Linked DNA regions of Arabidopsis thaliana. The protein of the gene in region 2 interacts with the protein of the main gene of each other region in a pairwise test. Each region holds a gene or a part of one and is shown on either strand. Other genes may lie near its edges.

Region 1 (9,959 bases), on a different chromosome or scaffold from region 2:
ACAGATTGGCAAATAATCCAGTGTGTCTAGAGGCGGGAAACGGGCCGAGTTACTGTTCAGCAATCCAACACAATACCTCATTTTCTACACTCCCAACAAACTGTTCTCCATGCGAACCGGGCATGGAAGCGAGTCCCACGTGCCGCTGTGCGTATCCATTCATGGGAACACTCTACTTCCGGTCTCCTTCTTTCTCAGGGTTGTTCAACTCCACCAACTTCTCAATTCTACAGAAGGCAATCGCGGATTTCTTTAAGAAGTTCAATTATCCTGTAGACTCCGTTGGTGTTCGGAACATAAGAGAGAATCCAACTGATCATCAGCTTCTAATAGATCTATTGGTCTTTCCATTGGGAAGAGAGAGTTTTAATCAGACAGGAATGTCACTTGTTGGTTTTGCATTTAGCAACCAGACTTATAAGCCTCCTCCGATATTTGGCCCTTATATTTTCAAAGCTGATTTGTACAAACAGTTCTCTGGTATGATGAACCCTTGTCACACACACAATCAAACTAGAACTAAAGGTTGTTATTGATAACTCATTTGCTCTGCCTTTCTTTTTGTCACAGATGTAGAAGTTTCATCAAAGTCATCAAACAAAAGCATTCTCATTGGAGCAGTAGTTGGTGTTGTTGTTCTTCTACTATTGTTAACAATAGCTGGGATTTACGCTCTTAGGCAGAAGAAGAGAGCTGAAAGAGCAACTGGTCAAAATAATCCTTTTGGTAAGACAACAATATTTACTACTCCCTTGACTAAAATAGCATGAACAAATTTTCTTTGGCATGTTGCAGCTAAATGGGATACAAGTAAGAGTAGTATTGATGCTCCGCAGCTAATGGGAGCAAAAGCGTTTACTTTTGAGGAGCTGAAGAAATGCACTGACAACTTTTCAGAGGCAAATGATGTTGGCGGTGGAGGTTACGGCAAGGTTTGTGTCTTAACAAATGCCTTCAAATGAATGTAACAACTAATGGCCTTAGTTGAAATTCATGATCCCAAATTTTGATGGTTAAATAGGTTTATAGAGGGATTCTTCCTAATGGGCAACTCATAGCAATCAAAAGGGCTCAACAAGGATCTTTGCAAGGAGGGTTGGAGTTCAAAACTGAGATTGAGCTTCTCTCAAGGGTCCATCATAAGAATGTTGTCAGACTCTTGGGCTTCTGCTTTGACCGGAATGAACAAATGCTCGTATACGAGTACATTTCAAATGGGTCACTTAAAGACAGTCTGTCCGGTAAGATCAAACTTCTATCTTCCTCATGAGGATTTCAGATAGTTCTTGGATGCTGAATATGTTAGTAATGCAGGGAAGAGTGGGATTCGATTGGATTGGACAAGAAGACTTAAAATAGCACTTGGTTCAGGCAAGGGCTTGGCTTATCTTCATGAACTTGCTGATCCTCCAATTATACATAGAGACATCAAATCAAATAACATATTACTTGATGAAAATCTAACCGCAAAGGTTGCCGACTTCGGTCTCTCCAAACTTGTGGGAGACCCTGAGAAAACTCATGTCACAACACAAGTCAAAGGAACCATGGTGAGTAGAAAATTTATCCTCCTTTCTCTTTTTTTCTCAAATACATTTTAAACTTACAATATCTTTGTAATCAGGGCTACTTGGATCCAGAGTACTACATGACGAATCAATTAACGGAGAAGAGCGATGTGTATGGGTTTGGTGTGGTTTTACTCGAGCTATTAACCGGTAGAAGTCCGATAGAGAGAGGCAAATATGTGGTGAGAGAGGTGAAGACAAAGATGAATAAATCTCGGAGTTTGTATGACCTGCAGGAGTTGTTGGACACAACGATCATAGCAAGCAGTGGGAATCTAAAAGGGTTCGAGAAGTATGTAGACTTGGCTTTGAGATGTGTGGAGGAGGAAGGAGTTAATAGGCCATCAATGGGTGAGGTTGTGAAAGAGATTGAGAACATAATGCAGCTTGCGGGATTAAATCCTAACTCAGATTCAGCAACGAGTTCAAGAACGTATGAGGACGCAATCAAAGGATCTGGTGATCCTTATGGCAGTGAATCGTTTCAGTACAGTGGGAATTTTCCAGCTTCAAAGCTTGAGCCCCAATGATTGATTATGTTTCTTTTTGTTATTTTGTTATTTCGTAAGTGACTTCATACTTGAAATGCCTTGTGAATGTGGAGTAGCATGATTCTGTTTGATATGTGGTCGCTGATTATAAAGCAGATGAATGGAGAGCCAAACGCAGAATCAAAAACCACCAGATCTTTGGCAATGTCGACACCAGTTTCAAACATAAGAAAAGTAATCAAGCTCAATGTATGATGAATAATTGAATATATTAATTCTTGTTGAGAAGTTTGTGTGGTTTCAAAGATTTAATCCACACATCACACACACTTTTAATTTACTCCAAACCTTTCACATTTATGCATGAGATTATATTACAAATTTATATTACAAATAATTTGTAGTACGTAAGTAAAATTAGTATTAACTAATAAGAAAAAAAAGTAATAAAGTTATTGGGTTTGCAACCTAACACATCAACGATCCCATCGAACAACAACAGTTACATGACCCAGGGTGAATTTATGGTTGTCGTCTCATCTGAGAGCACTCTCTGATCTAGTGTCCTTGTTGTCCACACCTCAAACACGCCCCCAAAATGTATGACATGATTTAACAAAAAATAAAAAGAAACATGATTTAAGACATGTGGTGTGTGGCAACTCTGCCATATATTTCATGGTGAGGTAGCGAACCGGCACCAAGTTTTTCTCGATATGTTTCCTCCATTTACCATTCTTTACGGTAGACTACGGTAGACTCATAACTTTTTTTATACCGGAGTCATATCGTATTAGTTTCTTAAGAGGATTAAAGCACACATATGTTTTTGTGTCTTATTTACTACAAAAAGTCTTTTTACTAAAACACTAACAAAACAAAAATAACATACAAAAAAAATAAGAAAAGTGGTGGGATGTGGCCAAATAGCATTAGCATACATACGTAGGAAAAAAATAGACGATGTGGTCATATGTCAGAGTGGTCAAGGTCCCATCCCATCTCTGAGTTTTCCGTCGGTTTGGAGTATATTGATCGGAGAATATGATATGGGCAAAAAAAAAAAATCGATTAATTTTTAATCAATTTGGGGTACACTGAAAACAAAAAATATTTTTTTTATTAATTTACTTGGAGGAAGTACTGGTCAATATAACATCAAACCATCAGCATCATTCATTGTTGTTGCAATTAGTATTATTATCTCAAGTTGATAAAAGCTTGTGCTGATTTTTTCCATGACCATGACTTTATTGCATGTTGCTGTTAGAAAAACCATATCAGTGCATAGTCGCTTACCATTACTCTATTTCAAAAATCTCTCTTTTCTTGAGAAGAAACGTTCTAGGAAAACAAATAATATATACATGACTTCTCCCAGTTTTGTGCAGAAACAATTAAATGTTAGATCATTTAGTTAAGTTTTGTTACATATTGCATATTTATGCTTTATCATGTAAACAGATTTATTTATGTAGTTAATAAAGGACTAGTCTATTATAATGGTGTTTTGTGCCAAGTCATTGTTCATAATTTGTTCCTCCACATTACCGTATTGACATTTCAATTTCTCCCTTGGATAATACCTTTGAACCCTTCCGCAATATATAGCGGTTCTTTATTATCTATATCAAGTTGAACTATTTGTTTATATGGTCCACTGTCTATTTGTTTGCTTTATTTATAAATTTTCGCTTAACTTGTTCAAAGTCTTCTCCTTTATGTCTTACATGCTTTGTTAGCAAAGAACATGGAGGCTGCATTTTTATGTTAGAGTTCGTCATAACTTGTGCAGACCACATGCTTTCTTCTTGAACGAATTGTGATACATATCATTGTGTGTCTGATGAAGATGAGTTCAAGAATTGGATTATTTAAGCTCTTGATCTTGCTTTTCTTCCAAATTTACTCTGTTTATGCGTTCACAGATGGTTCAGATTGTAAGTATAAGTAGATGATGATCAGAGTTCTTTTAACAGATAAAGATTTCCAATTTTTTGTATTTTAATTCTTTCAATATTGGTGCAGTTACTGCTTTACAAGCCCTGAAGAACGAATGGGACACGTTATCCAAGAGTTGGAAAAGCTCTGATCCTTGTGGAACCGAATGGGTTGGAATTACATGTAACAACGATAACCGTGTTGTTTCAATGTAACACCTTGGTCCCTTTCTTTGTTTGTTCTTTTGCTGCTTCTTTCTTCAATATAATCCTCTATATACAGACTTTAAGCTGTGTTATTTGCTTGTTTCAGATCATTAACCAACCGTAACTTGAAAGGAAAGCTTCCTACCGAAATTTCGACATTGTCTGAATTGCAAACCTTGTAGGTCTTTCTTCTTCTTCTTTTTCCTTTGCATAAAAATGGATTTAGTTCTCATCTTATGATTCGATGTTTGCAGGGATTTGACTGGCAATCCTGAATTGTCTGGACCGCTTCCAGCAAATATCGGTAACCTCAGGAAGTTGACTTTCTTGTAAGCAAAGTAAACAAGATCTTAACCTAATTCCATCAATCGCATTATCTTATATATCGCCTTTTCTTTTGTTGTTTTCTTCTCTAGGAGCCTTATGGGATGTGCTTTTAATGGTCCAATCCCTGATTCCATAGGGAATCTTGAACAACTTACAAGACTGTAAGATTTGTTGCTTCTTATAATTTATAAACAGTCACTTTTTCAATGTAATCTTTAAAACTCATAATAAGTATTACTTTGCGTTTCCTCCATACAGCTCTCTGAATTTAAATAAATTTAGTGGAACAATTCCGGCTTCCATGGGACGGTTATCGAAACTATATTGGTTCGACATAGCTGACAATCAGTTAGAAGGAAAGCTTCCAGTTTCTGATGGGGCTTCTTTACCTGGACTTGACATGCTTCTTCAAACTGGGCATTTGTATATATAATCCCAAATCCTTAGTTTTCATTTTTATTTAGTTACTCTTTATATATAACATTCATCACTCTGACTCTCTTTTACTTTCTTTTGTAGTCATTTTGGTAATAACAAGCTTTCAGGCGAAATCCCAGAGAAGCTCTTTAGCTCAGAAATGACTTTGCTACATGTGTAAGTTTCATAGTACATGCAAAAGCTGAGAGTTTTCACTAGTTGATATTAGAAACTAACAAAGTGATGATTGCATTTTTGTTCTTGTTTTATCAATAGGCTGTTTGATGGAAACCAATTCACCGGTAGCATCCCAGAGAGCCTCGGCCTAGTTCAAAATTTGACTGTGTTGTAAGTAGTAGAAATATATTTTCCAAACTGTATGTTCACAAAATTTCTTTAATCTTATAAGATATTTGCTTTGTTACAGACGTCTTGATAGGAATAGACTAAGTGGAGACATTCCTTCAAGTCTTAATAATCTCACAAATCTTCAAGAACTGTAAGTGAGCAAATAAAGATTTGTTCTGTTTTCTTAAGATATATAAATGAAAAGATGTAAAAGATCTTGTAGTTGAATCCATTTCAGGCATTTGTCCGACAACAAATTTACAGGTAGTCTTCCAAATTTGACCAGCTTGACCAGTCTCTACACATTGTAAGTTTCAATATTTTTCTTCCTCGTTTGTTGCTCAAATTTAGCATCAGAAACCTTTCTTATTAATAATCAATCTAATGCCATGATATGATTATTATGTAACAGGGATGTGAGCAATAACCCGTTGGCGTTATCACCGGTTCCATCATGGATCCCTTTCTTAAACTCTTTGTCAACATTGTATGAGCATTCCTCTCTCTTTTTAGATATATATAGATTTGTGAGCATACATAATGAGAAAAAATGGTCTTCAACTTGGCAGAAGGTTGGAAGATATCCAACTTGATGGTCCAGTACCAACCTCCCTTTTTAGCCCTCTTCAATTGCAAACTGTGTGAGTCAAATAAGTCATGATCATGAATGTTCAATTGGAAAGTCAACTCAAAGATTTGTGAAACATGTACTGATTGGGATGGTTTTTCTTGACTTGCAGTTCCCTAAAGCACAATCTTATAAACACAACATTGGACCTTGGTACCAACTATAGCAAACAATTGGATTTTGTGGATTTACGAGACAACTTCATAACTGGTTATAAATCACCAGCTAATAACCCCGTCAATGTAATGTATGTATTCATCTTTGACCAATATGTAACATCTTTGAAGAATAACTTACGTATGTGTGTTGATATATCCATAGGTTGGCAGATAATCAAGTGTGCCAAGACCCGGCGAATCAGCTGAGTGGCTACTGCAATGCAGTCCAACCAAATTCCACATTTTCTACCCTAACAAAATGTGGTAATCATTGTGGTAAAGGTAAGGAACCGAATCAAGGCTGCCACTGTGTGTATCCACTTACAGGAGTATTCACCTTAAGGTCTCCTTCATTCTCCGGATTTTCAAACAACAGTAACTTCCTAAAGTTTGGGGAGAGTTTAATGACTTTCTTTAAGAATGGCAAGTATCCTGTAGACTCTGTGGCCATGAGAAACATAAGCGAGAATCCAACTGATTATCATCTTTTGATAAATCTCTTGATCTTTCCATCGGGACGCGACCGCTTTAATCAGACGGAAATGGACTCTATTAATTCTGCATTTACCATTCAGGATTATAAGCCTCCTCCAAGATTTGGTCCTTATATTTTCGTCGCCGATCAGTACAAAACATTCTCTGGTATGATGAAACGTAACACACACTCAAACGAAATCTATATTGATTTAACTCATTTTACTTATAAGCCTTGTTTGTTTCACAGATTTAGAAGATTCCAAGACAGTAAGTATGAAAGTTATAATTGGAGTAGTAGTTGGTGTTGTAGTTCTTCTGTTGCTGTTGGCTTTAGCTGGGATTTACGCTCTTAGACAGAAGAAGAGAGCTCAGAGAGCAACTGATCAAATGAATCCTTTTGGTAAAAGAAAAATGGTTTAACACTAGAACAAAAGACTTTTCTCTTGTCTTATGAAAATCCTGACAGCTTCTCGTTTGTCTGTTGTAGCCAAGTGGGATGCGGGGAAGAATGAAATGGATGCTCCACAACTAATGGGAACAAAAGCCTTTACTTTCGAAGAGCTTAGCAAATGTACTAACAACTTTTCAGATGCAAATGATGTTGGCGGTGGAGGTTATGGCCAGGTTTGTGTATTTCCAATGTCCTCAACTGAAACAACCAGAGGTAGTAGTTCAAATTATAATACCAATTTGATGGTGAAACAGGTCTACAAAGGTACCCTTCCCAATGGGCAAGTCATAGCAATCAAAAGAGCTCAACAAGGATCCATGCAAGGAGCGTTCGAGTTTAAGACCGAGATTGAGCTTCTTTCAAGGGTCCATCATAAAAATGTTGTTAAGCTTTTGGGCTTCTGTTTTGATCAAAAAGAACAAATGCTCGTATACGAGTACATACCTAATGGGTCCCTTAGAGACGGTCTATCAGGTATATATTTAATCTCTATATATCTTGCTTTGTTAGTTCTTTGGTGCTGAACTTGAAAAACAAATGTAGGGAAGAATGGGGTTAAACTGGATTGGACAAGAAGGCTCAAAATAGCACTTGGCTCAGGGAAGGGTCTAGCTTATCTTCATGAGCTTGCTGATCCTCCAATTATACATAGAGACGTCAAATCAAATAACATATTACTTGATGAACATCTAACCGCAAAGGTTGCTGATTTCGGTCTCTCCAAACTTGTGGGGGACCCTGAAAAAGCTCATGTCACAACACAAGTGAAAGGAACCATGGTGAGTAAAAAAGAATCTATCATAAAATATATGAAACCATTAACTATAAAAACTAACAATATCTCTGGAATTAATTAGGGCTATCTTGATCCTGAGTACTACATGACGAATCAATTGACGGAGAAGAGCGATGTGTATGGGTTTGGTGTGGTGATGCTTGAGTTATTAACCGGTAAAAGTCCGATAGATAGAGGCAGCTATGTTGTGAAAGAGGTAAAGAAGAAGATGGATAAATCGAGGAACTTGTATGACTTACAAGAATTGTTGGACACGACAATTATCCAAAACAGCGGGAATTTGAAAGGGTTCGAGAAGTATGTAGATGTGGCTCTACAATGCGTGGAGCCAGAGGGAGTTAATAGGCCAACAATGAGTGAGGTGGTGCAAGAACTTGAGAGCATATTGCGGCTTGTTGGATTAAACCCTAACGCCGATTCAGCAACATACGAGGAAGCATCTGGTGATCCTTATGGTAGGGATTCGTTTGAGTACACTGGGGTTTTCCCAACTCCAAAACCCTAACGCAATAATTGATTAATTTGTTCTTTCTCAGTTTTTTATTGTTTTGTTTTTTGGTTATTTTGTAAGTGACTTTACAACCTTAAATGCCGTGTGAATGTGTGTGTACTAGCATGATTTGATTTTTGATATATGTTGTTTTGTGGTCGCTGCTTATAAAGTGTAAACAAGATTGGAATCAAAATAAACATCAACCCTAAGCAACCCTAAGTTGTCATGATACTAAATAAATCTAATCACCGGATTTTGAATATACTCTCTTTGAGGTTGTCTCAGCAGTCCGGTTGTCATGTCTCTACGGGTATCCCCACGCACATATACTGTGCCAAGCAAGGATGCTAGTGTGTCCTTCTTGAATCCGCGAACGGATGATCTTTCTCTATTCTCATGTTGTAGTTATGATTTTCTTAACTTCGTTCGTAATCAAGTGAATACTTTCAATAACAGACTTGTATACACACTTTTTGGTTTTTTACGGTTTACTATTACAGTATTAATCGATTTTCTACCATAAAATTAAACTGTTTATCTAGTAATTAAAAAAAAACTGACACAATATGAAAATAAAAATGGTCACAAAAAATAGAATTTCTTTAGTAAAATGAAAAAAAATCACTTAATTTGAAAATTTTTTTTTAAGAGAAAATATAGTGAATTGTTTAATCTATAATCATTTGAATTGCAAGAAACAAAAAACAAAGAAAACAAAAACCTATATTTTATTTGGAACGGAGTACTGGTCAATATATCATCAAAATATCAGCATCGTCGGTACTGCAATTAGTATATTATCTCAAGTTGGTAAAAGCTTACGCTGATTGTTTCCAGGACTTTGACCATGTTGTTGTTAGAAAACTATTTCGCTGACCTGAACCGTCTTGGGCAAGCCAATCATATCTAACGTTTTTAGTTTGTAGATTTCGTTTTTCTTTAAATGTTTGAATCATTAATGAGCGTTTTAATACATCATATTTAAAATGAGACACTAGTTTCTCATCACAATAACTGATCATCACGTTGGTTCCGTTTTGATTCAATATTTCGGGTCGATTTGATCCAAAAAAATATCCAAATATTGGAGTTAAAGCAGAGCAAACAAAATTACCCTTTTTTTTTTTTTTTGGACAAAACAAAAAAAATTACCTTCCTTTCAAAATAACTACTCCCTCTGTTTCAAAATAAATAGATTTCAAATTTCTAATAATCTTATATTCATAATTGGTTCTTTCCCATTAACCCTAGTGGCATTTCCATCTAACCACATTTTCCGAACCTTCCATTAATAGCATTCTCATATTTTATCAAGTGGAACTAGTCTTTAAATGATCCACTGCCAATTTCTATTATTTATATGTTTACTTTTACATTATTCAAAGTCTTCTCCTTCTTGTTTAACAATATTATGTAAATGTTTTGTTAGCGAGGAAGCTGTATTTTTGTATTCAAGACTATGTCATAACGTGTGCAAATCACATGCTTTCTCATTGAATGACTTTCCGATACAGTCAGAAGCAGGGAAAGAGAAAAAGAGATTCTTTGTGGGTCTCAAGATGAGTTCAAGAATTGAAGTCTTTGTGCTCTTGATCTTGCTTTCGTTCCAATTTTGTTCTGTATCTGCGCAGACAAATGGTTTCGATGGTAATTTATAG
Region 2 (6,944 bases):
TTTAACAAAACGACGTCGCTTCTATCGTCTTCAAGTAATGGAATCCCCCAAATCTTGACTTCTTCTGGTGTGTTGGTGAATTGGTGATTGTCTAGAGCTTCTCGAACTAGATGTTTTAGTTCATCGAGTGATTTCTTCTCGGAATTAGATAGATCAGAAAGTTTGCTGCTTTCTTCTTTGAATGAACCAAGATTCTGTGGAATCATACTCTTTTTCTCTTCAGCTACTTCTTTCTGCGATGCTTCGTCTTTAACCTCTTGTTTCTCCGTCGATGCAGTTTCTGTTTCCGTCACTGTCGGTGGATGATGCTCTGCCGCGGTTTCTTCTTCTGGCTTGGTGGTGGTATCTGCAGTTTCCGGTGGATTAGTCTCAGTCACTTTCTCCAGAGTTTCTGTCTCTGTCGGTAGGGCATCTTGAGTAGATTCAGATACTTCAGAAGGCGTGAGGCTCGGAGAAGGTAGCTTTTCCGGTGTAACGAGAGTGGTAGTAGTAGGTTCTTCAGCCATTTTTTACTTGTGCCGTCTTGTTCTGTGATTGTTGTTCCTAAATTGGGCAAAAGTGAATTTTGGGTTTATAGAAAGAAAGAAAGAAAGTGGAGACAAAAAAATACGTTGAGACGTCGTCGTAAGTACAAAAGGGTATATTGGTAATGCCAATCGAACCGGTTTTTTTATTTTATTTTATTTTTGTTGTAAAAAGATTAATATATTTTCTCGTTTTAGCATCAATTCCAAATTATATATCAGGATTTTTGGTGTGACAAAAAAGACAAAACAATCGTGAAATTGGATCCAATGACATTTGAAGTATACATTTTTATCTTTCAATTTTGAATAATAATAAAAAAAAAAAAGTAAAAACAGAAGAGATCCACGTGAAAAATCATATGTTTGATTTTTTTATTCCTTTGTTTTTTGTTTCTTTTTTTGGCGTCCTGACACCTTCACTGCTCTACGAATCCAACCAACACTGTAAAAATTCTATTTTGTCTCAGTTAAAATTCTAATATAATCCAGTTGTTGGTTACAGTATTTTCCAAAACAATACTTTTAGAACCATATAACAATAATCTAAACCAAACAGAAAACTCAAAACTCGATCAGTTTTTTTTTTTGTTTTAAACAGCCTTAGTGGCCAATGTTTACGGCCCATCATAACAACATATTGGGCCTAAGTTAAGGCCACGTTTATTGTGGGCTCTATAGATCGGTAAAGTCAAGAAAAGGAAATCACGAACAACGGAAGAACAAAACTCTGAGCGAATCAATCAATCGGAAAAAGGAGATAGGTTTCGCGAAAATGGCGGAGAAAAAGGATAGTGTGCCACCGGAATACGATGTGAATGCTAAGTGGGACGCATGTCTCGATCTCACTGTCCGCCGCTTCGTTTACTCTTCCCTCGGCGGCGCATTTGCCGGTCTTCTGTTCTTCAGTTCGGTGTTTCTATATCTCCCTACTCGATTCTCGTTTTCTTATTACTTGCTTGTAGCTGTTTTATGATAGATGTGTAGTGTTATTACGAGAATCACTATGAATTAGGGTTTTAGAGTGTTTAATTTCTCCAATTTGAATCATATATTGTTCCAGTTCTTGAATTATTACTTGCCTTGAGATTGTTTTTGTGCATAATTTAGTTTCTGATTTTGTATAGGGAGTCCTGTTACAAGATGGGCATCGATTGCTTTAGGTGCTGGAATTGGTATTGGCTCTGCATATTCAGATTGTTCTCGTGCTTTTGATTCACCTTCTTCATCTTCAGCTAATTTAGCAGCTCCCAAGAATAATATTACAGAGACTTCTCCTGTATCTCAGGTTAGTTGGAATCTCTTTTGGTAAATGCATTTGTTTGGGGGAAGCAATGCATTAGTTTGGTACAAAATTGATACTAGGGAGAAGATGTTAAACTTTAGAAAGGTTATCGTTTAGCTGATGGATATAAGAAGTTAAGAACCAACTTCTTTGCAGATGATTAAAAGTAAATTGAGAAAGTTAAGCATGGCATTTGTTAAACTTTATAGTTCACTAGACATCTTGAGAATTGTCTTAAGATAACATATACATGTTTGTTAGCGTCGTAGTGATTGCTAATGAACTACGAATTGTTAAATAACGACTCATAGAGTACTAGATATCTATCCTTCTTTCATAGCATAGTTCCCTCTTGCAACTTCCATTGTTTGTAGTGTTCAATATAAGCAGAGTAACACAAGTAAAAAGCAGGAAAAAGTTATAATTGCAAATACGAGTGATGGTTAGTTCATGAGTGATCATTGTCTATGAGTACTAAAGATATATGTCGTTCGCCTGGTTTACCTCTGACGAATCGATCATCTTAAACCCATGAGAATGTAAAAGAACATAAGGTTGAATATTTTCTTTATTCTTCTTATTTTTGCAGGCTGCAGACGAGTAGACAATGTCGATAAAGTGGAAGTTAGTAACACATCCAATGATCGGGGTGTTCAGAAACAGAGCTATTATCATGCAATGCTTTGTTGAATTGTTTCCTAAACCTGCAAAGACAAGAGTCTATTGAGATAATGTCAAATGTAAAAACCTTTTTTTATTCGCTCTATCTCTCTCCCAGTGGTTTTGAACAAGTGAATACAAAAATGTTGCATCAATCACCCATTCTATTTTTTCAACCTCAACAAGGATCATCATGCCAACGACGTCGTTTTCATGTGTTGAAAATTTTCAAACCGGAAATAACCGAGAGGGTCCCACAAGAGCAATAATAATATTAAAAAAATATCGAACCAATCAGAGTTCCGATGGACCGCCATAGTCACCGACTAAAAAAACCAGCGACCACGTAAATCTTTGACGACGAGGAGGAGGAGGAGGAGAAGAATAAACGGAAGAAACTAAGAGATGAATAGTCCACCGGAGAACGATCTTTGTTCGATATGTCATTCCCACTTCACCGCTCCTTGTCAAGCCAATTGTTCCCATTGGTTCTGCGGTTTACCTCTCTCTATCTCTCTCAATCCTTTCGAGTCTTTGATTCGTTTCTCTTGTCTCTTCGCTAACTCTGTTCAATGAGATCGGAAATTTTTTGCCTGAATTTGTGCCCATTTGTTTTCCTTTTTGTCATTGACTGTTATTGCCTACGAGCCTCCTGAATCTTGATCGTTAGCTTTTGGTTAAAGATTAAATTTTGCCTTTAGAATCCAATCAGCATAAGTTTGTAATCTCAAAGTTCCAAACTTGAACAATTTTGTTTACCCTCTCTCTGCTTTCACTACCGATTACAGATTCTTGGATTTGGTTGAGTTCGGTGATTACTTGCTTAGAACATATAGATTTCTTGGCTTACTAGTTTTTTCAAGTCCACTGGTCTAATTACGAAGTTTGCGTGGTTTCATTGCAACGAAAGATTCTGCCTTTTCTGTGATCTGTCGCTCTAACTCTTCTTTTCACTTTGCTTTTAGGGAACTGCATTATGCTGGTGTGGAGGCATGGATCTACATTACAGCCATGTAAATGCCCTTTGTGTCGTCGTCATATTAGTTTGTTGGTTCCTTCAGAGGACACAATCAGAGACCGTAATGACGCTACAGTTAAGGAGGTTCTTGGTAATCTTGAAACTTACAACCGACTCTTTGGCGGGCGTTCAAGTAGTTTAGTTCAGGTATGTGTTCTATCTCTGTGTTTTAAGTTGCTTGTTTGGTCTTTTGTGGAAAAAGTGAATGTGTTTTAGTTTTTGAGATATATAAGACTTCCATGAATCCCCCCATAAGTAGGATTGTAATGTCAAATCGCTCATAAGGAAATTCTTATTCCCTTGGCAGAGGATGCAAGACCTGCCCTTCTTACTACGGAGGTTGTTGCGGGAAATGATGGATCCACAAAGAACGCTTCCACTTGTCATTAGGGCTCGGGTTTATATCGCAGTTAAGTTCGATGACATCTTGATCTCTCTGTTTATACATAGATTAGTCATGTTATGGGTAGTTACTGTTCCATTTGGTGTCAAACATGACGCAGTTTCTTTGTATTGGATGCAGATGATTCTCAGTGCTGTTTACATAATCAGTCCAATAGATATCATTCCAGAAGGTGATTTTTTTTTTAATCCTATGAATCTTTTCTTTGTCTCCCTGTCTTCTCACAAATCCTTTCTTAACTAATTTTTCTTAGGAGTTCTGGGGGTAGTCGGTTTGCTTGATGATCTACTCATAGCACTGATTTGTTTCCTCCATGTTGCTGCTCTGTACCGCTCGGTTCTCTATTTCCGTCATGCCGGTTCGTGAATCAATGAGTGTCTTTGACATTATACGTTGCAGTTCAAGAACTAGAGATGTGTGCTTACCTTTTCTTCTGTCTTTGATCCTTTCCCTTTACAAATACACAATTGTTCTGTTTAGCTAAGGAAAACTGAAATGTGTGATGATAAAGATCACAGCACAAAAAGCTTGGAAGTACATATCAATCATCTTCCTACCACTTCCTATACGCTAGTCTTTTTGACCCTTCCACTCAAATTTATCAATTATGGTTTCGACCGTTGACTCGAGAAACTCTGAGATGGGTCATGGTGATGGGAACAAAAACTTTACTTCAGTCTCTGTTCTCTCAGCTACAAATCAAATATTGAGTGGTCCTCTTCTGGAAACCTTGATAGGTCTTACTCTTACCTCAGTAGCTGCTGAATAGTCTTCACAGGTTTTTACGATCTTAGTATCCGTTTATTGGCCATAACCGATACGGTGTAGTAGATTTAAGAAGTTCTTTCGGAAGTCTCACACGCTAAAGGAATAACTTTGCAATTTACTCTAGTTTATCGATATTTCAAGAATCAAAAGATTACTACTCGATGTCTAGAAGTTTCCGCTATGTAGAAAACTTGGTTGTTTCAAAATGTCGTTTTGATGGTTTGGCCTAAAATTTAAAGTGGTTTATCCACTAGTAGTCTCTAAGTGTTGAACCGTAGAACAGATTTTCCATTTATAGAGAGACAATACAATGTGTCATAGATGAGTGGACCACAAGATAGAACCACAAAAAAAAATTTGTCTCAACATGGTCACACGTGCATAGTACACGTACAGCTTTCGTGGATTCTATTCACATGGTATCAATCAAAAACACATACGCGTGATAGACTCATCTTTTTCATGTGCATGTCCCGAAAGTGACGTTGCTCCACTGGAACTCACCGCCTAAAAATCCCATCTTCAAAACGTTTCTCTTGGCCCTCGATATAAATGCATTGGTTACCAAATTGTCGATATTATTGCTTCAATCATGATTCGGCTTCATTGGTATATCCGTATATATCCCTTGTCACGTAAGGCAAACACATAAAATATATGATAAAAACAAAAATTAATGGAGTTGAATTTAGTGTTACCTATAACGGGTATTAATTATACAAAAGTATGTAAATTAGTAAAATAGTGAATCGCCCATGAAGTTGCATAATCTTGTCTTGTAAACAAATGTATTGTAATGACGTGACGTTGTGTTAGTAGAGGTATGGAGACAGATATGCTCTTCTGATCAGTTTCTCGTCCGATCAATATTATTATCATTGTGGGACGGTCCTACTCGACAAATTATAGAGACACCCACGTTTACATTATTGTAAATATTTATATTTTTAGCTAACTTCGGGCCTACTGTCACTATTTGCTAGCTATATTTTCTTCAAAATGAAACCGTCATCTATATTCAATGTCCTGTTTCAAATAAGCTCAAAATATTTTGGTCAAAATTACCTTTACTTGATGGAATTTTGCAATGCTTGATACATTATGTTTATGCAATTTTATGGTGCATTATTATATGTATGTAAAGTATCTAATTTTTAAGTATACTCAACAACGAATAACTAAAACATAGATCATATCTAACACTAGTGTTTGTCTCTAGCGATAATAAAACTTTAAATTCTCTAATGTCTCTACCAATAGAATATTTTTGTGTGATATATATGTATATATAGAGCAAACAATGTGGAAAGCGACTGGGAAAATAAAGGAACCAAATGAGAAAGGGAAGGGATACAGCTGGGGAAGTCAACATCCAAATCAAAGATCTTTTGATTCTCACTCACATATCCCTTTATTAAACCGTATCTCTTCCCATTTAAACCGACACAAGAAAATTTATTAGGTATCACGGTTAATACTTTATTATTCAGTAGAAAGTATTAGTATTTAAACAACTAAAGAGAAGTTTTTTTTTTTTCTTGCAATAGCTAAAATTCCATTTTGTATACTCTTAAAAAAACTATGTTAGTATTATTGATTTTGGCCAAATGTATGGGGGGATTTTTTTTTTATAGTATTCTCATCTACTTTTTGTTTTTGTTATTGACTGTCTCTGATTTCTTTCTCGTGTATTGTCTCACTTTTTAAATCATTATCTTAGATTTTTCTTAATAAAATAAAGAAGCAACATACTATATACTATTCTAACATGTAGGATGATAACCTTGTAAGGGCCATAACTTTATGGAATTTCATTTGTAAGTTTGAATAATTACCAATCGAGTGAAGTGAGCATGAAAACAAAGTGATTCAGTGAAAGGGGTACATTTATAACCACATAATCATCATATACTAACCATTTCACTATCTATTACCGTTTCTAAATATTTTACTGTATTATGGTCCTTTAATTTGTGTTTTAACTTTTAGTGGCTAAACGATGCCATAGGACCCAAGGCCATCACACATTGATATCAATCAGAAAGAGAATAAGCAATTATAAGTTTTCATAATAAATATGTGATATAAAACTTGGAGATAAATCAGAATGGGATTCGGAGCATAAGGGGATAACATTAGAGAGATGGATGTAGAAAGAAAAGGACATTGAGTAGGTTAGACGATTCTTATCAAACTTCACTTAAAAGGGTAATCGACCCAACAACATTTTAGTTCTCTCTTTCTTTTTTGGTTCTTTAATTTTAATTTATTTTCCAGACTGTAAAC

The links. The genes of interacting proteins can lie anywhere in the genome.
Region 1: the proteins of AT1G72175 (region 2) and AT5G49770 interact in a protein complementation assay, tested with the Arabidopsis thaliana proteins (one large-scale study listed by BioGRID).

What each region holds. Positions count from the first base shown.
Region 1 is NC_003076.8:20,218,955-20,228,913, forward strand, and holds AT5G49770 (Leucine-rich repeat protein kinase family protein), read left to right. Parts: upstream 1-3,714; 5' UTR 3,715-3,905; coding exon 3,906-3,999; intron 4,000-4,087; coding exon 4,088-4,211; intron 4,212-4,312; coding exon 4,313-4,384; intron 4,385-4,460; coding exon 4,461-4,535; intron 4,536-4,622; coding exon 4,623-4,694; intron 4,695-4,791; coding exon 4,792-4,956; intron 4,957-5,052; coding exon 5,053-5,127; intron 5,128-5,226; coding exon 5,227-5,298; intron 5,299-5,377; coding exon 5,378-5,449; intron 5,450-5,536; coding exon 5,537-5,605; intron 5,606-5,710; coding exon 5,711-5,785; intron 5,786-5,867; coding exon 5,868-5,939; intron 5,940-6,038; coding exon 6,039-6,173; intron 6,174-6,247; coding exon 6,248-6,726; intron 6,727-6,808; coding exon 6,809-6,961; intron 6,962-7,048; coding exon 7,049-7,185; intron 7,186-7,266; coding exon 7,267-7,486; intron 7,487-7,555; coding exon 7,556-7,791; intron 7,792-7,869; coding exon 7,870-8,313; 3' UTR 8,314-8,512; and 1 more. Other genes in the region: AT5G49760 (Leucine-rich repeat protein kinase family protein), read left to right, coding at 5-480, 571-726, 796-932, 1,022-1,241, 1,315-1,550, 1,625-2,098; AT5G49780 (Leucine-rich repeat protein kinase family protein), read left to right, coding at 9,861-9,948.
Region 2 is NC_003070.9:27,155,104-27,162,047, forward strand, and holds AT1G72175 (E3 ubiquitin-protein ligase RNF170-like protein (DUF 1232)), read left to right. Parts: upstream 1-2,771; 5' UTR 2,772-2,874; coding exon 2,875-2,965; exon of another isoform or gene 2,966-3,434; coding exon 3,435-3,634; intron 3,635-3,794; coding exon 3,795-3,896; intron 3,897-4,010; coding exon 4,011-4,062; intron 4,063-4,143; coding exon 4,144-4,256; 3' UTR 4,257-4,632; downstream 4,633-6,944. Other genes in the region: AT1G72160 (Sec14p-like phosphatidylinositol transfer family protein), read right to left, coding at 1-506; AT1G72170 (MICOS complex subunit, putative (DUF543)), read left to right, coding at 1,300-1,432, 1,652-1,812, 2,399-2,413.